Linked DNA regions of Caenorhabditis elegans. The protein of the gene in region 1 purifies or fractionates together with the protein of each later gene. This does not show direct contact. Each region holds a gene or a part of one and is shown on either strand. Other genes may lie near its edges.

Region 1 (5,956 bases):
ATAAGTAATTTCTTCAAATTTATATTCCTTTTGGAAATTTATTCATAAATTCATCTCTCCTCAAAATATATGTCACATCTCAATGCGCATTCAATTAGAGCTCTTCTCTTTTTCAATCATACACTTGCATGTATAGGTATCTCAAAACTCCTCCTCGTTGTCAGATTCTCTACTTCTCACAGACTATTTCGCGACCAAATTTCCTGATTTCATTCTACGCCCTCAGACAGGAAAGACAAAGCACTCATATTTTTTGTTAGTCTTAAATCTCGCAGCAGGTGTATTGCAAATGATTTCATATAAAAAGTGATGTTTCGAGTATTTCCATGGTCCGGATCATATTCTAGTAGTGCTGGTAAGTCTGTGTTCTGATTACATGTTCTGCTAAACCTAATATTATCAAAAATAAAATAGCAAGTGTGAAATTTTCGAGAAGTTTCAAAAATACTTTCGTATATACACAAGAATTCTTATTTTTGATTGAAGTCTGGAAGTCATATGTATTTCATATTTTCTCATAACACTATTTTCAAATAACATTCGCCAAAAGATAACATAATTACCGTTGCTGGAAAAGTAGGCAAAATTTAGCAAATTTTATCATTGAAAAAACTCGAAAAAGCAGAAGAAACAAAGAAAGATACTTGGAATTATCATATTACAACGAGTTTTCAAGTTCTTCTAATTGTATTTTATTTTTATTTCTAGTGAGGGAGAATAATTATAGCTCGAGAAGATCTAGATTCATGTGTTTAATTTTGTCGTTTCTTTTCATTTCTCTTGGTTTTCTTAAAAAATAAGGAAGCATATGGCGACCCAGACTCTTTTCTCCAGTGGCGACCCAGACTCTTTTCTAAAATTTCCACTTGGCATGTAATCGGAAACCTAGCAACACAAGTTTTCCTGTTGCTTCGCCTTCTGAATGCTTTTCCATGGGCACCCATTCAAATACTTCTTCTCTCACGCCCGTCTCACTCGTTCGTCCTGCGTCTCCAAACTTTTCTCCTGTCCCCATTCATCTCTGCACTTGCCCATTTCCCTTTGCACACCGAAATCTACATAACATTATATAGCACCACCAACACCAGAGTCGTCCGTTATACTTGTTCGTCATTTTATCATCGGACAAAAACGAGCGAATTGCACACGAAAAACGCGGGCTTTCTGACATACAAAAGTGCGCGCTCTTCCCTCCCGTTCCTATACTTGAAGCCTCTGATAGAGTCCGTCGCTATTGGATTTATGTTCTCTATTTTCAATATGCATTTCGAAGCTTAGTTGGTTGAAACGAAGCAATAAGCCAAGTTATTTAATTCATACAGTAAATGGGTAAGACTGAGAAACATTTGAGTTGAAATCTAGTATTCTACATTTATTTGGACGTATCAATTTCTTTTAGATGCCAACACTCCCTCTGCATCTGGAGGTGATCCAAAATCAGGAGATTCTTCAAGTGAGAAGCAATCACATCAAACTCCTACTCGACACCCTCCATGGCTCCGTTCTTCCTCTCAACCTGCCACGTGGCGTAACAGCGCCTCATGTAAGCCTCTAATCCTTCCCCGACTTAATCCTATTGTTCTGACACCCATTACACTTCATTTCAGTCAACGAGATCAGTGACGGCAATTGGACATACTGCATTGAAACGCAAAATACTGCGTAAGTGATTACTTTTTTTTCATCATTCATTGAACATATGATATTTAGCCCTGCTGTAAAAGGATTTGGGAATGTTCCAATTGTCAGTTACGACGTTATTGAAGCTATGGGTGATAGAAAACTGAAAGTATGTACCGTGACATGGAACATTAACGAAAAAGGTGTGAAAATATTGAGCCATCTCGCTCAGAAAATAGCAGAACGAGGACAAGAAATGGATAGTGATATATTTTTCATCTCATTGCAAGAAATACCTTCCACAGCACCGTTAGTTCCGAAAACTATTAATTTTCGATTAACTAAAATCAGTTTCAGAACTTTTCATGAAGAAGCATTACGAATTCTTGAGCCAGTTCTCAATGGTCATCGTCTGTACCTTTCACATAGAGCCTGGAGTCAAATGGTAATAGTCTTCATTCGACAGAAACATCTTCGATATGCAATCCGTGAGTTCAGATCTTATAATCTAGAATCTAATAGTTTAAAATTTCTAGAACCACAAGTATCATTTATCGCATCTGGTGCAATGGCAAAACCAGTTCGAACGAAAGGTGCAATCGCGGTATGTCTTCGTTTATATCAGCGATTTATAGTGCTTATCGGATGTCATTTATCACGTGAGTGGTCCCTTACATTGTTAGACTAATGATGAGAACACAAAAATGTTATATTCTTACAGATGCAACACCACAACAACGTATCCAAGACTACGCTAAAGTGGTCCGCACTCTTCGTTTTCCTCAGCTTGCCAGATTTCATGCACATGCAAAAGACGAAATTTTTGGTTCTGACGTAAGCGCCTCTGAAGGGCGACACTTCCTCCATAAATCATTTTCAGGTGGTGCTTTGGATTGGAGATTTGAATTTCCGGGTTACTGTAGAGAGCAATGTAGACTGGAGAGATCCGGAAAAGATTACAGAGAAAACATTTAGAGATGTTTTTGAAACAGAAGAGCTTGCCAGTCATAGGAAAAAGCAATTAGCATTCACAGATTTCAAGGAAGCTCCAATTAAATTCCCTCCAACACATAAATTCGAGCCAGACACAGACAATTATGTGCCAAAAAGGATTCCGTCTTTTACTGTGAGTAATTTCTGATTACAAACATTGCTAAGACTTCAATATTTTAGGACCGCGTTCTCTTTTGGGTAAGAAACTCGGAATGGCTCCAAAACATTCAGTACGATTGTATGAGAGGAACAACACCGTCGGATCATAAGGCAGTTTTTGCCACTTTTTGGTTAGCTTTTTTTAAACCTAGCAATAGAGTATGGTTAATTGGAAAATGATTAAAAACCATTAATATTGTATTTAAATTACCAAAAATAATATTAAATATATTCAAAAAATTTTGTAAAATTTTTGTATTTCGAGTCAAAAAGCGGTGCGAACTCAGTTTTCACCAATTTTTTTGGAAGTAGTGTACCAAAAAATTTATTTTGGTTTTATGTTATAATTATGTTTTAAATATTCATGTTAATTTAGCGAAGAGTTTTATTTTGATATTTGGTCATTTTAGCATCATAGGAATGGTTTTTAATCATTTTTCCAATTAACCTTACTTTTAATTGTTCACTATTTACTGGTTAATCATTTTTCTAGGCTAACTGTGATCAATAAGCCGGTTCCTGAACATTACAAGCAACAAAAGTCGCTGGAAAGAGAAATATCAATGAAAACCAACTCGGTGGATGCAAGTGGACCAGTGAACTAATATTAATCTAAAAAAGCATATTTCCAAACATTTGGTTTAATCTGGTCATTAAATCCCTGTTATTGTATTTTTAAATAAATTACCGTATACCTCAACTCTTTGCAAACAATTCAAAATACAAATTCATACCTTCTTCTCCTCCGGAAACTCCACAGCCGACGAACATGATCCCCTTTGCGGCGAGTTGCTCGGAGCGTCTCTGAAAATAATTGTTGTTTGTCAGTTCACAATCGATTCACTATATTACATATTTATTTTATTTTTAGAGAGAAAAGTCTAATGAATAAAATAAATAAATATTTAGAAAAAAACAAAAACTTACGTTTGAATCAGTGTATTCAGAATTTCCTCCATCAATGATAATATCACCTTCCTCAAGATGCGGAACAATTGCATCGATCATCATATCGACAGGAGTTCCGGCTTTAATGAGCATCATGACACGACGTGGTCTTTTCAATTTCTTGCACATTTCCTCAATTGAATGAGCTCCAATAATCTTAGTTCCTTTAGCTTCATTGGCAAGAAAATCGTCGACCAATTTGACAGTTCTGTTGAAGGCGCAAACAGTGAATCCGTGATCATTCATGTTCAGAATAAGATTTTGACCCATAACGGCCAATCCGATGACGGCAATATCAGCTTCGGCCATTTTAATTTCTGGAAAAAGCCATTGAAAATTAAAAAAAAGGATTTTAAGAGTGACGGAGAGAAGAAAAATATAGATTGCGGTTACAAAATTGATTTTTAAAAGTCTCTTATGGCGTAAATGACCAATTTATTTCAGAAAACAATTCTCATGTGTGAAATTTTGATCAAAATGGTTCAATTTCGGGAAACATCAATGAAACAATGATGATAATGTTTCGAAAAAAGTGATGCCAGAAAGGATTTTTTCATTACTCAGAATTTATAAATTTGATGTGAACGTTTTTGGATAATTCGGGGAAAGTTGTAAAAACGTGAGAGACGACTTTGATTAGTTTTTTGTGAGGAGGCGCCTCCCGCTCTTTACTTCATTTTTGGACAAACAATCAATGTCATCATCATTATTTTGTGGCCTACTCCACTCAACTTCCATCGCTTATTTATATATTGACTAGTGGAGGCGATTTGTTTTGTTTATAGGCCGTGTAATTATTATTATAACAATAATTGGGTACAGTTAGAAAAACTGAACTGGTTGACGGAAAGTGCACAGAAAAAAGAAAAACGAGGAAACCAGATAAGCAAAGAGACGGAGACAGATTTCTGCAGTGAATAAGAGATTGGGGGAAATTTGTGACTATCTTGTAGACCACACTCGGAGTTCTGTGAGATGTTATCTTTCTAGAAAATTGACCTCAATAGGTTTTCGAAAAGAAAAATTTCAAAATATTTCAAGGATAAGGATTCAAGTATTTCCTGAATTCAAAAATTGAACGCAATGATAGGAGAAAATAAGTTTCTGTTCTTTTAGAACGAGTGCCGACGAATGCCGACGAATGAACAAAAAACAAAGTGGTGTTTGGCATTGAATTACTTTTTTTTCTCCCCTGCACTCTTGTTACTTTTAGGCTACGACGCAAACAAAAAATGCCGGAGGTTTTGTCACCTTTTTTCAAAATTTTACAAGAAACGATGACAATTCGATCTTCTCGAGGTGTTTTGTTTTCGCTCAGGATTGAAAGCGTCGAATATGATGAGAAAATTGGAGGTTCAGAGAACAAATTGCATTGTAAAACGGGAATCAGAGTACATTTAATTTATGTAAACATGCGCAAGCAGGAATAAGATCCAAAGAAACACGGGAAAACTTAAAATTGAAATTGACACACTAATCTTTTAAGGTAAAAACTTTTTCTTGAGAGGTCCGCAAACTCGCTCTATTGGGCTACGGCGGTAATTCGAACTGAATTCTCTACATTAATTTTTAGTTTCTTTTTTTTTAATTTAATAAGAGCGTTCATCGTTCACTCAACGATTTTTTTTCTCCTTACGTCCTCATTCTCCTATATTCTCACAAAACACATCTCTGCCGTCGTTTCGCTGCCTACACTGCCTTTGTCTCGTTGTCTGCGTCGCTGCTGACCCTGCGTTGAGCGAGTTTCTTACCATATTGATTGTCAACTTTATTTTTTTATGCAATTAATTTACCTAAATAATAAAACTAAATGGAGAACATCAGCAATGAAGAGGTCAGTTTTAGAGTTTCCTAGGTATTTATAAAAAATCCAAATTTCAGAAACAAGCTTATCAGAAGAAAATGCTCAACGTGTTGATGATTGATTTTCTGAGAAGTACAAACATTGAATTTTCTATCGTAAATCATCCAAAATTTCGAGCAATGTTCGAGCTCATCAGACCGGATATTGTTTTGCCTACAACATCAGACTTAATTGTAAGTAATTTCAAAAATGAGCTTTTCAAATACTTACTATTTTAAAGTTATACTATAAAAATAGAGAAATATCCACACATATTCATCTAAAAGTTTTATAGAAAGTGAATGTCGACAAATACGATACATTCAAACGATGGGAGCTTATGAACCCCGATGAATACGAAAATTTAGAAAAACAACGTCACGAAATGGTTCG
Region 2 (4,713 bases), on another chromosome or scaffold:
TTAAAATTTCTTTGAAAACAAATATTAAATAAAATAATTTTTAAAAGTATTTGATGTGATCACATCAAAGAAACGAGATAAATAGCAAGGAAAATTCGCAACTACAGTAATCCATAAAAGTTCATAAATGTTTCTGTCGCGCCATGACCGGATCCAGTAATTTCTTATCAAAAATGGCAAAGTGGTAATACACATATTTTTTTCAGCTGAAGGTCCCAGCAGGAAACAACGTCGTCGTAACAACAAAAACGTTCAAGTAACGGTCAATATGGAAGATATCAGTGATGACGAAGAAGTTTGATTCACAATTGGCTGGAAAACTTTGTTTTGTTCGAAATCAATTCAATCGTAGAATCGTTATTGGAAAATCTCGTTCTTTTTTAATTCAATTTAAGTTTTTGAATGAAGTTTTACTCATAACTTCCGTTTAATTTTATTTGTTGTTAATTTTCTAATCGTCAAAATATCGATGAATATATTTATTTCTCATAGTAGTGACCAACATTTCAGTCACTCGAAAAAACAATACTTTCAGGAACACAGAATGTCAGAAACTTGGGAAGCGTTGCGGAAGAAAGCCCGAAGCACAGAAAATTCCATCGATGTCAAGCTCGTCTCCCTGAATAAATTAACGGCTAGCTCTCATGGTAAGTATTACCAAGAATTTTACGATTTTATCCTCAGAAAATACGATACCGGGTCTTGACACGAAACATTTTCATAAAATACAAAAAAGTGTGCGCCTTTGAAGAGTACTGCACTTTCTGAATTGTGTTGATGCGGAAGTTTCAAAAAAAATATATGTATTTATTTGAAAAACCCAAATATTATATATTCTGAAAAAAAAACTTTAAAAAAGAAAAAGAAACTAATGAAAAAACCAAAAAGGGCATTTATAAAGAACATTTTCGTGTCGAGACCGGGTACAGTATTTTTGGCGTTTGAATAACCAACTTTCGAACATGTCTCTCAGAAAAATATTTAATAAACATGTTTCCTATTGAAAAAATATTTCAGGCGGTTTTGACATCGACGAGAAAACAGTTTCCTCAAGACAAACGAGCTTCAAAACAGTGACAACAGAAATCGAAGGATTGATAGAGCAATTGACAAATATCAATGATGATGTTAGTTTATTTTCAATTTTGTTTTTAAATTCGTCAACTTCAGATGAATGACGTAGCTGGTGCTCAATCCTCGGCATCTTGGGCTAATAATCCAGCCATTCAACACACACTTCGACGACATCGAGAAATTCTTCGAGATTACGGTAGTGAGTATCGACGTGCAAGAGATAATGTTGATCAGGTATTACAGAGGTATGAAAAATACTTTTTTTAAATTAAACAATACGATATTATTCAGAGAACTCTTGTTGAGCAGTTCAAATGAAAATCGTAATAATCCTATACTGAACAACAGGGCTCGTGGATATGATATGTATTTGAAGGTATTTTTGGGAAGAATTTCAAGAAAGTAGTACTAATTAATTTAATTTCAGGAGAATGACCATATAAACGCTTGTGATCGATTGTTAGATGAACAGTTAGAAATGGCAATGTCAACGAAAGAGAATATGGCCAGACAGGGAATTAATCTACGTGGAATATCAACTCGGCTTCATCATATTTCAAGTAATTTATCTTTAAAAGGGAAACAATTAAAGTAAATCTAAGTATTTATGAACATTTCTGATAAAAATGTTCCTGAAACACCCGATCTTTTTTGAAATCGTCAATCTAGATTAATTTAGACCTAATAAACTTGAGTTCAAATTTCTTGCAATACAGTTTTTTGACAAAAAATCTTTAAAAAAAAACAACAAAAAATTTATTTGAAATTTGGACCGAAAAACAAAAGTTAGAATTTCTCCAAAAAGCCGAAAAAATTTCAAAAAAAAATTCCTCCTTTCAACTGAGACTCAACATTTTTGAAAAACAGTTTTACAAGCTGCATAATAATTATCAAAACAACTTTTTTTAGAAAAATATCCTGCAATTAACAATTTGATGCAAAAAATCAAAACGAAAAAGCAGAAGAACACACTGATCCTTGCTGCCGTCATCTCATCGTGCCTTATTTTTACAATTTTCTGGATTATCAATTAATCAGTTTCAAATATCAAAAAAAAACTCAAAAACTTTTTCGAACTCCGATTTTCGTATTTTTCGAAGAAATTTAACAATCGGCAGTCGTAACTTTTTATCAAGTTTTCGAGTTGTTATTACTTTGTGTCAATGAAAAATAGAAACTGAATGATAAGAATAATCGATTTTTGTACTATTCCCTTGTCCCTTCATACAACGCACACCACTTTCATTGTGATATTCCTCACCGTTTTTCTAATTTTTACTTGTAAATAATTTTCTCGTTTTGTAATCTTTCGAGTATAATGGAGTTCTTGGCTTTTTCGTTTTTTTCTCGATGTGAAACAATTGGGTATACATATTTATGAATTAAAGTATTATTTAAAGATTTTTTTGAAAGTTTACAGTTGAAAGTTTAATTCTATAACTTTATTTGTTCATTGATTCTGGATGATAAAATTTATTTATCTAGAATTCAGATGACCCTCCGTCCATTTGTGTGTCCATCAATTCTGAATGCCGATCTTGCATCATTGGCTTCTGAATGCAAGAAACTTTTAGCAGCTGGAGCAGATTGGTAAGGTGATCTTTAGAAATTCTGAATAGTTTTGACAACTACTTTCATATTTAAATGTCCCTTTAGATTTCAAAAATCTAAATGGGAACGCACAAAAACCTCTTCTGAAATCAACATGGAAACGTACTCCACGGCCAATTGGAAACGCTCCGACCCCCCGAGATTACGGTCTCGTTAGGTATTTGGCCACAAAATCGCAAATTGAAATTGTTTTCATCTTCAAACACAAATTGGCAGGACTAATTGAAAACGCTTAAACTATCAATGTCAATACCTAATGAGACCCATGGTTCGAGGGGCGGAGCGTTTTCATTTAGCAGTAAGTAAGTAACGTTTCCACTTGGATTTTCAAAGGATTTACTTTCTGCGTTCCCATAGTATCCAGCTCCCAACTTGCAGGCTTCACCTCGACGTGATGGACGGTCACTTTGTACCAAACCTCACATTCGGTCACCCTGTCGTTGAATCTCTTCGTAAATCTCTTGGTGCTGAACCATTCTTCGATGTTCATTTGATGGTCTCTAATCCTGGACAGTGGGTTGAACCGATGGCAAAAGCTGGTGCCAGCCAGTTCACATTCCATTATGAGGCTGTAGATGGTGATGTGGCAGTCAGTGAATTGATCGAAAAAATCAGAAAAAGTGGAATGAAAGTGGGATTATCGGTCAAACCGGGAACTTCTGTTGAGCATATTTTGAAGTAAAATCAAAATTATATTTCAATCTAGATTTTAAATTAAAAAACTTTTTAGACATGCTAATCATTTGGATAATGCTCTTATCATGACTGTGGAACCAGGATTTGGAGGACAAAAGTTCATGGAAAACATGATGGAAAAGGTATTTATTTTGGTTTTTATTTGATACGAATAAAATTTATGGCTTTCAGGTTCGCACAATCCGTTCAAAATATCCAAATCTGACTATTCAAGTTGACGGAGGAGTAACACCTGAAAATATTGAAATCTCTGCTCAAGCTGGAGCCAATGCGATCGTGAGTGGAACTGGAATCATCAAAGCTGCAGATCAATCTGTCGCCATGACAACAATCAGAAATGCAGTTGAAGCTGCTATTTCGAAGTGCTGATTTTCTTAATTACTTGAATATTGTTTTGAATTTTGAAGCTCATTTTTTCAGAGCTTTTTGAGGTTGTGATGTTAATAGTTAGTAAATGATTGTCAATTAAAAAATTCAAAGCAGCATTTATTTATCTATAAAGTTCAGATGGGCTCTGCAGTTCCTAGCTTCGGGGTCGGAGCAGGTGTCTGAAAAAAGAGCATTACAAAACATCATGGACCATTCTTCAGTTGCTTACATTTTTAACACTTTCCTTCTCCTTGCTCGGAGTCTTCTTATCCTGATTTGATGGCAATACTCCAGTACTTCCAATTGTATCTTTACTCGGAGTCTTTCGTGGTTCGATATTTCCTGCCTCTTGGCTCATTGCAGTATTCAACGACGGCTCCTTGCTTCTTCCTCCAGCATTTGCAGTCTTTGTAGATTGCTTCGGAGTCAACATGATCTCACGAGACGGCTGCTTACGATTCGGAATTGGAGGAGGAGAACGTGGCAATGTCTTTTTCTGAAAAATTGGTTGTACTTTTGCTCAAGATCTTGGAGTACTACAAAAGCTAAAAAATATTTCGAAAAATAAAAAACGAACCAGATCAGTCTCACTCTCCTTTGGTGTCTTCTGTAAGCTGAGCATGGCCGATTTTGGAGCAGGCTGAAAATTGATTGAAATGAATGAAAACACTCGAGTGAACATACAAACCTCTTCAATAGTTCCAAGTGTCATAGTCTTCGATTTACGAGTATCTTCATCTGAAAATTGATTTCGATTATTTGCAAGAAATAGACAGACACTTCACCAGTCCCTTTCCTTCTGCCTACCTAATACTTACTTCACACCTGCCTGCGTACGTGTCCACCTCATCCCTACATCTTACGGCTTTGCCGACTTGCACAACCCCCCTCAATACCTACTCCCTGTCTATCTGACCACCAGGGCAACCAAGTTGCTGGTTGCCGAAAATTGGAGCGTATGGC
Region 3 (6,683 bases), 4.5 Mb from region 1:
TGAAATCACGCAACATTGGTATACGGAGCTTCAGTTGTGTTCGAGCTTTTACAGCCTTTCTGAGCCTTTGTAGAGTTTCCTGAAGTTATTCGCACGCAATACAAAGTTGACATTGGAGAATCAGACGGACGAGTTCTGAAAAACTTTAAGTTTTGAAAATTGTATTTTTGAAATTATTTGTCATCGTGCGAAGAATTTCAAACGGAAGACCTTTTTGATGCACAACCCTTTCAAGCCAATTAGCAAATTAATGAGAGTTGATAAATTTATAAATTCTCCAGATATGTGAAATGGATTCTTTATCACGTGGAGAATAGAAATTAAAAATAAAAGTCGTGAGCGAGTTAATCTTTGTATTCATCGACTTCGCGACAACATTGATACAATAATATTGTGAGAACAGTTTTTAAAGTAAAATTAGAAATTGGCGTGGAAATAAATTAAATTTTGGTGTTATTTCATATAAATATTATTTTATAAATACATTGTGAAAGTTCTACAATGATTTTTGGCACTTAATAAATAGTTTTAAACATTTTCCCCGTGGGCGCTATCACTATTTTAAATTTTCCCCGTTTCACATTAATCATATAAATTCATTTAAACTAACGCAACATTATCGTTTTGGTTCTAAATGAGAAACTATTTTCCAGTGTTAGAAGCCTTTTAAGCATTTCCTGACATCCGGGTACCAAAGTTTTAATAAATTTTTTCAATTAAACATTTAAAAAATTTTGCCGTTTCACGTCGACGATATGTATAAATCTGAAAACTTTGCTTATACGTTTAGATTTTTATTTTTTGCAAAAATTTTAGCTTTCAAAGAAATTTGAAATTGTTTGTATATTTTGAATTTATTCAAAAACTGGATTTATTGGGAAATATACAGTTTGTGAAATATTATAGCTTGGATCCTTGTGATCTCTTTTGCAAAAACTGAGCCAAATCGCAAACCCATCTTGGTTGTTCATTTGTATACTTCCGGAATTCTTCCATTATATGCTCGTACGCTCTGAAAATCAAATTTAAAGTTCAGCAGAAACCTTTACATTTTAAAACTGACTTTCCATCAGATGCTCCCAGAGCTGAATGTAAAATGAAATCATCTGGAGCAATCGAGTCCACTAAAGCAATGGCCTCGGGTTTTAATTCGGCTACAGCGAGTCTAAGCTTCTCTCGAAGATCTTCTCCAAACTTTCCACCAGAAGCATATCCAGTAATATAAAGAGTTGCAAGATGTCTTTCCAAAAGGAAAAGTGAGAAAAGATTCAAAACTTTTTGAAGAACCGGCTTCACACTTTGATCTTCAATTTCTTTCAAGAACTGTTGAACCCAATGGATCATTGTATGTTCTGTGTATGCAACAGACAAATTGACAGCTCTATGAATTTGAATTTCATTTCGAACTTCGAATGAATTCTTTCCAGATGCTTTTAGTCTGTAAGCTTCTGCCGAAGTTGTTTGAAGTAAGTGATAAGTGAGATATCGGTACGCAGACAACACGTCATTAACTGGATTCGAAGACCATGATGAGAACTTTGAAGGTTTTTGATTCAAGAATGACATAGTAGACATCGGGGTCTCAATGGATCCAATTGATTGAGCCTGAACATCAGAATCTCAATATGATTAAAGAATCTGACAATTAAGTTTACTTTTCCTAGCAAAATATTGCTGGTTTGTTGCAAAATCATAAAGTTTTCTCCTTCAAATGTTTGTGATGGATCGTTGTCATCTCGGAGGGTGTTCAATCGTGACATTTGTAGGTATCTGTAATTTAAATTTTAACTTTAATCTGGAAAAAATAGAAAGACGAATTCTCAAAAAATGAGTTTCTTAAAGTTAAGTTTCAGGTTATGTTAGGAAACATACCCATGACCTCCACAAGCTTTTCTAGCTTCTCCAAGGGATTCTACACCAAGCCACGTTGCAACCGGTTTAGCTCCAGACGACAATGCATGTACTTCTTTTGAGAACTCGGAGAGCTCGTCTGACTTTTCTCCCATTATGACTCTCATCATATATTCAGTGAAATGTCCGACAAACCTATAAAGTTTAACTAATTATTGAAAACAATTTGTTTAGAGTTCCCACTTCTTCTGGAATATTCTAATGCAAATTGCAGCGGATAGGTACGGGAATAGACGATACTGTTGAAGTGGATACTCGAGAACTGGGATCTCATTTTCAGCTGAATTATACAAAAGTTGAGAAATTGAGAAAAGGAATGGTGCTCACCGCCTTTTACTGGTCCAAACTGTCGCCGAGCAACACTGTATCGAATAGCAATTGTAGATGCAAAAGTGCAAGCCATCATTCCTTTTGCGATAATTCCGAGTCTGAAATTTGTGTTATTGTGAAACCATTGTTGGTAAAGTTTGAATTTTGAAACAGTATTTTGTTTGAAAAAAATCAATCGGAAAAACTTATAGATTGCACTGTTTTCCCAACTTTATGAATTCGTCTGCTTTTACAATTTCGAATTGTCCTAAGAATGCCATTTCCATTATTTCTATTTGTATTAAATACAATGGCTTCACTCTAGAAAATCAATTCATATTTTAAAAGTATCGATTAAAGCTGGAATAGATTCGTTTTGAGATTTTGCTTTTATTGATAATAAGGCTCGGCCGTGAAATTTGCATCTTGTATCTACTAAAACTGAGAAAAAAACAACACATTTAAAAAGTTGGTAAAACAGCGGCTAGAAATTCTTCAGAACCTGATTTTTTTAACAGAAATTCTTTTAGATACAAATTTCACTCAATTAAAAAATTTTTCTATACGGCCGGCGTCGTAAAGTATTGAAAACATACCTTCCAACTGACAATGTTCCCAAACTGACACTCTGCTTCTCACTTGCAGATTTGAAACTTGTCACATATTTTCCATCCGGAGTAATATCACAACCCTTATTCAAAAGTGCACTCAGAGGAGCTCTATGGTTCTTAAACTCCATCCAGCCATTTTCTACTCCCTGCCAGCATCCTGGTTTCGAGCCCATGTCTCCAATGGTAATTCCTGGTAGAGTTTGGAAAGTTCTAGGGCAACGAACTTGAATCACAAATCCATGAAATCCCTCGTTCTTTCCTTCGACATGAAGTTGAGCATAAACAACTACGTGAGTGGCCGAGTGAGCTAAAAAAATGGATTTTTTTAAATTTAAAATTAAAAATGTTTTAAAACCCACCGAGATTTCCAGCCCAACATTTGATTGCACTGACACTTGGAGTATTGAAAACAAGTTCTCCATTGTCAAATGTAGCTGTTGTTTGAATTTCAGCAGTGTTTGAACCATGGCCTACTTCTGTCAGACAAAATGCTCCGACGATCTGAAATTTGCTATTTTGCAAGGAAACCTAAACTTTCCAGATTTGAATACAATGCGCTTTTGTTTAAATTTCTTTAGAATAAATTATTTTCAAATTTGTTTTGATTTTTCTTTTTCTTGAGTACTTCTTAATTTTGTATGCTATTTTCTTTGAAATTCACCTCATTGTTTTCAGTTTTCTGAATCAAATCCTTATGTCTATCTGTTCCCATTGACTTAACAGCTGCTCCAAAAACATTTCCGTGGAGGAAAAGCCTTGCAGATGTGCCTTGATCATAAGCTTCAAGAGTTTCAGTCAATGCATGGAAGTTTTCAAGATCGGAGTACGGCTGAATATTCGAATATATTGAAAATCTACAATTTAATAAGAAATACATCTTTGAACAACCCCCATTCGACAATTTTCTTCCATCTCTGATGAACAACTTCTCTTTGCTCTTCTCTACTCAATACTCGATAATCTCTGTGAAATACTGGTTCTGACTTCATTTTAGCAACTACTTCTGACTGAAATATATATAAATATTTTATAAATCCAAAATCTACTATACCTTCAGTCTAACATGTTCTTCTCCTTCAACGGCTGCTTTCAATTTTTTCCAGTCGAAAGTTGCCATTTTCCGGTATTTGTCAATTAAAGGAGCACTCATTTTTGATCTGAAACTGAAAAATTTACTAAATAAATCCTTTAAATTCAAAAGATTCATTTTATTTTCAGCAGAATATATGTTAAAATAAACTGAACAAAATTAAGACAAAAGCAATTGCATATGTACTGGGTAGGAAGAGTGTAGTCTTATCAAAAACAAAGAAAATAGAAAGTAATTGAGAGACGCAGAGATCGAAGACAGTCTGACTACAGCGTGGTGGTATTGTATAAATAGGGGGAGGAATGGTCTTTTAAAATTATCGTAGTAGATTGTAATTAGCTGGTGTTTGTAAAAAGGGTCAGAGGAAATTAACTGAAATTTTACAGAAAATTCATGTTTCCTTGTTTTAAAGTGGGCTCGGAGAGAGAATGTGGACAAGTAAATAGTTTAAAACAACGTAGTGGATAATAAAAAATTTAGTATTATTTCCATAAGTGTAAAACATGTTTTTAAATAAAAATACGCTAAAAAATTTCTAAATACAGTTTTGGCGAAAGTGGGGGTAACACATTTCCAGGAGCGTACTGGTCAAAATAAAAATTAAATTAAATTAAAATTAAATTAAAAATTATTAGCACTTTAACTTCAATATTTCATACTTTTACAATATTTTCCAACATTTTTGCAGTTTAGACTTTGATGTAAACATTTTTAGCGGTTTCATAGTTTTCCCGAAATCAATTTTGGCTGAACTACCAAAACTTGAAATTACTGATAATAATAATAGGTTTGCTCTGACTTGAGCAATTATATTAGGTGTCCGATAAAACCTACTCATCAATTTTGTGGAATTTGGAAAAAAATGTGATTGCCAACTTTGTGATTTTGTTGAAAACCTCAATAGAGAGTTTGCTTTTTCTTCGAATTACTAGATGCGTTTCACTATTTTATAAGTTAAAATAAGTGGAACCACAAAGTTCAGGCAATATTTTTCTATCATTACTAACATTAACAAGAAGAGATTAGTTTAATTCATGATCAAGACTGTTTTTACGAGATCTTTTTTTCAGCTGAAGTTTCAATATCAAAACAGAGAAAATGCCTCTGTTCATATAGTATTCGTGAAACAGCATAATAATTTTTTTGTTTAATTTAAATTTGAACACAAGAGTTGGCCAATTGAAGCATGATTGAAATACAATTAAAACTATTTATTTTCCATCTTTTTTCATAATTTCATAATCTTATTTCCCTCTTCTCAAACAAGTCTTTCGTTTCATGATCTTGGCATAAAGAAGAGCTTGAAAACATTTCTAATCCTTTTTTCCTTTTTTGCTAATCTCTCAAAACCTCCTACATTTCAATAATCTCTAGCTCTAACGTCACACATTCTGAGCTTTTGAGAGAGTCAGAGAAGCCACAAACCCGCCCATTTTCTGAAGAAGAAATCACTCATTCTGCCTTCTTCGACTGCTTGGTGGCGGTCCTATCTTCTTTTATGCAATATATCATACTATGTTATTTTTCTGTTATTTTATTGCTTAAACATCAAGCAATTAGAGTAAGTTAGTAGTATAGTGGGAATAGTTGTGCAAAAGACTTAAAGTTGCGCATTTTTGCAAATTTCTCGGTTGGTCCCCCGTTTTAGAATAATTGAGGAATTTCACTGAAAACCGTGTGTGCCTATTAATTATTGCTTCATGTGTGCCAATGTTGCGAATAAGTTTCTGGCATTAATTAGTGTATAAAACGTTGAAATGTGTGGATCGTAAAGTTGTGCATTGAAAACGGGGATCCGAGTTGTGACCGGAAAACTAGTCGATCTGAAATTTCACACTACACATTAATTCACAATTAGCTTTTCACAACTCGTCAAACTATGCGTACAAGAGCTATTTTGAACACGTTTTAATGTACGGGAAGGAAATTCAAAACTCCACTCTAACCGCGGCCGGTTTCTATCATGACCCTGTGATTGGCGACCACCGTAGTCCTGGGTTTCAACAGCGTTGTGCCTCAATTTACAACCAGGACGAAATACAAGTTGCGGCAAACATTTCGATTGACTTGATGAATCAGCCGCGAGTGCTCTTGAACGGTTGTAATGTGAAACTTACAGTTTACCCAAATGATAGTAAATTTTTGATTGAGGTTTACAATCGCGACAACAACACAGAGTTTCAGTTCAAAATAACCGACGTTTACGCTCTGGTTAACGAATTCGATCTTGCCGACGGTCTATCTAATGCTCTAGAGAGCTCCATTATTGAGCACAAAATAATCCAATATCCTCTAATATCTTCACAGGTGCGCAGTTTCTATATAGAGTCTGGACGTCTTGACGCGCCGGCTAACACACTCTTCACAAGCAAGATGCCCCGTCGAATTTTCATTGGTCTTGTTGATTCTGACGCGTACAATGGCTCTTATGATAAATCACCATTCAATTTCAAACCACATGGTATATCTGATATACATGTTGATTATTGTGGAATGACACTCCCCGGCCGCCCTTTTGCCTTAGATTTTGACAGAAACAAGTTTATGGAGGCATACATTCAACTTCAAGAAACCCTCGGTCACTCGCGAAGCAATTCCACATGTAATTCTATTAGCACCCAAATGTTTAAAGAAGGCGGATATACGATTTTTGGTTTTGAATTGAGTCCCGTTGCTCAGGACACTTCACTATTTGAGTTGGTGCGACAGACAAACGTCAGCATTCGTTTAAATTTCCGAGAAAAGGTTCCCGTCGGCGGTCT

What was found.
Region 2: the proteins of T25B9.9 (region 1) and F08F8.7 fractionate together in Caenorhabditis elegans (co-fractionation; one large-scale study listed by BioGRID). This does not show direct contact.
Region 3: the proteins of T25B9.9 (region 1) and acox-3 fractionate together in Caenorhabditis elegans (co-fractionation; one large-scale study listed by BioGRID). This does not show direct contact.

Annotation. Positions count from the first base shown.
Region 1 is NC_003282.8:10,767,734-10,773,689, reverse strand, and holds the start of T25B9.9 (6-phosphogluconate dehydrogenase, decarboxylating), read right to left. Parts: upstream 4,038-5,956; 5' UTR 4,030-4,037; coding exon 3,700-4,029; intron 3,577-3,699; coding exon 3,507-3,576; intron 3,473-3,506; exon of another isoform or gene 3,378-3,472; coding exon of another isoform or gene 3,266-3,377; intron 2,904-3,265; coding exon of another isoform or gene 2,794-2,903; intron 2,747-2,793; coding exon of another isoform or gene 2,501-2,746; intron 2,455-2,500; coding exon of another isoform or gene 2,342-2,454; intron 2,280-2,341; coding exon of another isoform or gene 2,157-2,279; intron 2,109-2,156; coding exon of another isoform or gene 1,978-2,108; intron 1,930-1,977; coding exon of another isoform or gene 1,711-1,929; intron 1,663-1,710; coding exon of another isoform or gene 1,608-1,662; intron 1,544-1,607; coding exon of another isoform or gene 1,400-1,543; intron 1,330-1,399; coding exon of another isoform or gene 1,326-1,329; exon of another isoform or gene 943-1,325; intron 356-942; coding exon of another isoform or gene 310-355; exon of another isoform or gene 244-309; intron 1-243. Other genes in the region: inpp-1 (Inositol polyphosphate-related phosphatase domain-containing protein), read left to right, coding at 310-355, 1,400-1,543, 1,608-1,662, 1,711-1,929, 1,978-2,108, 2,157-2,279, 2,342-2,454, 2,501-2,746 and 2 more; T25B9.8 (Lin-15A/B-like domain-containing protein), read left to right, coding at 5,531-5,554, 5,602-5,757, 5,859-5,956. UniProt on the Caenorhabditis elegans protein: Catalyzes the oxidative decarboxylation of 6-phosphogluconate to ribulose 5-phosphate and CO(2), with concomitant reduction of NADP to NADPH.
Region 2 is NC_003281.10:7,344,996-7,349,708, reverse strand, and holds F08F8.7 (Ribulose-phosphate 3-epimerase), read left to right. Parts: upstream 1-2,559; 5' UTR 2,560-2,566; coding exon 2,567-2,664; intron 2,665-3,063; coding exon 3,064-3,363; intron 3,364-3,415; coding exon 3,416-3,503; intron 3,504-3,552; coding exon 3,553-3,750; 3' UTR 3,751-3,854; downstream 3,855-4,713. Other genes in the region: F08F8.9 (uncharacterized protein), read left to right, coding at 207-301; gos-28 (Golgi SNAP receptor complex member 1), read left to right, coding at 545-647, 1,018-1,127, 1,171-1,319, 1,366-1,450, 1,502-1,634, 1,984-2,108; F08F8.6 (uncharacterized protein), read right to left, coding at 3,885-3,929, 3,980-4,246, 4,328-4,390, 4,439-4,488.
Region 3 is NC_003282.8:6,244,499-6,251,181, forward strand, and holds acox-3 (Acyl-coenzyme A oxidase acox-3), read right to left. Parts: upstream 3,995-6,683; 5' UTR 3,982-3,994; coding exon 3,883-3,981; intron 3,839-3,882; coding exon 3,707-3,838; intron 3,661-3,706; coding exon 3,493-3,660; intron 3,333-3,492; coding exon 3,191-3,332; intron 3,139-3,190; coding exon 2,817-3,138; intron 2,656-2,816; exon of another isoform or gene 2,635-2,655; intron 2,506-2,634; exon of another isoform or gene 2,484-2,505; intron 2,340-2,483; coding exon 2,239-2,339; intron 2,192-2,238; coding exon 2,095-2,191; intron 2,047-2,094; coding exon 1,873-2,046; intron 1,771-1,872; coding exon 1,656-1,770; intron 1,606-1,655; coding exon 1,064-1,605; intron 1,013-1,063; coding exon 901-1,012; 3' UTR 860-900; downstream 1-859. UniProt on the Caenorhabditis elegans protein: Involved in the first step of peroxisomal beta-oxidation by catalyzing the desaturation of fatty acid-derived side chains of ascaroside pheromones, which regulates development and behavior.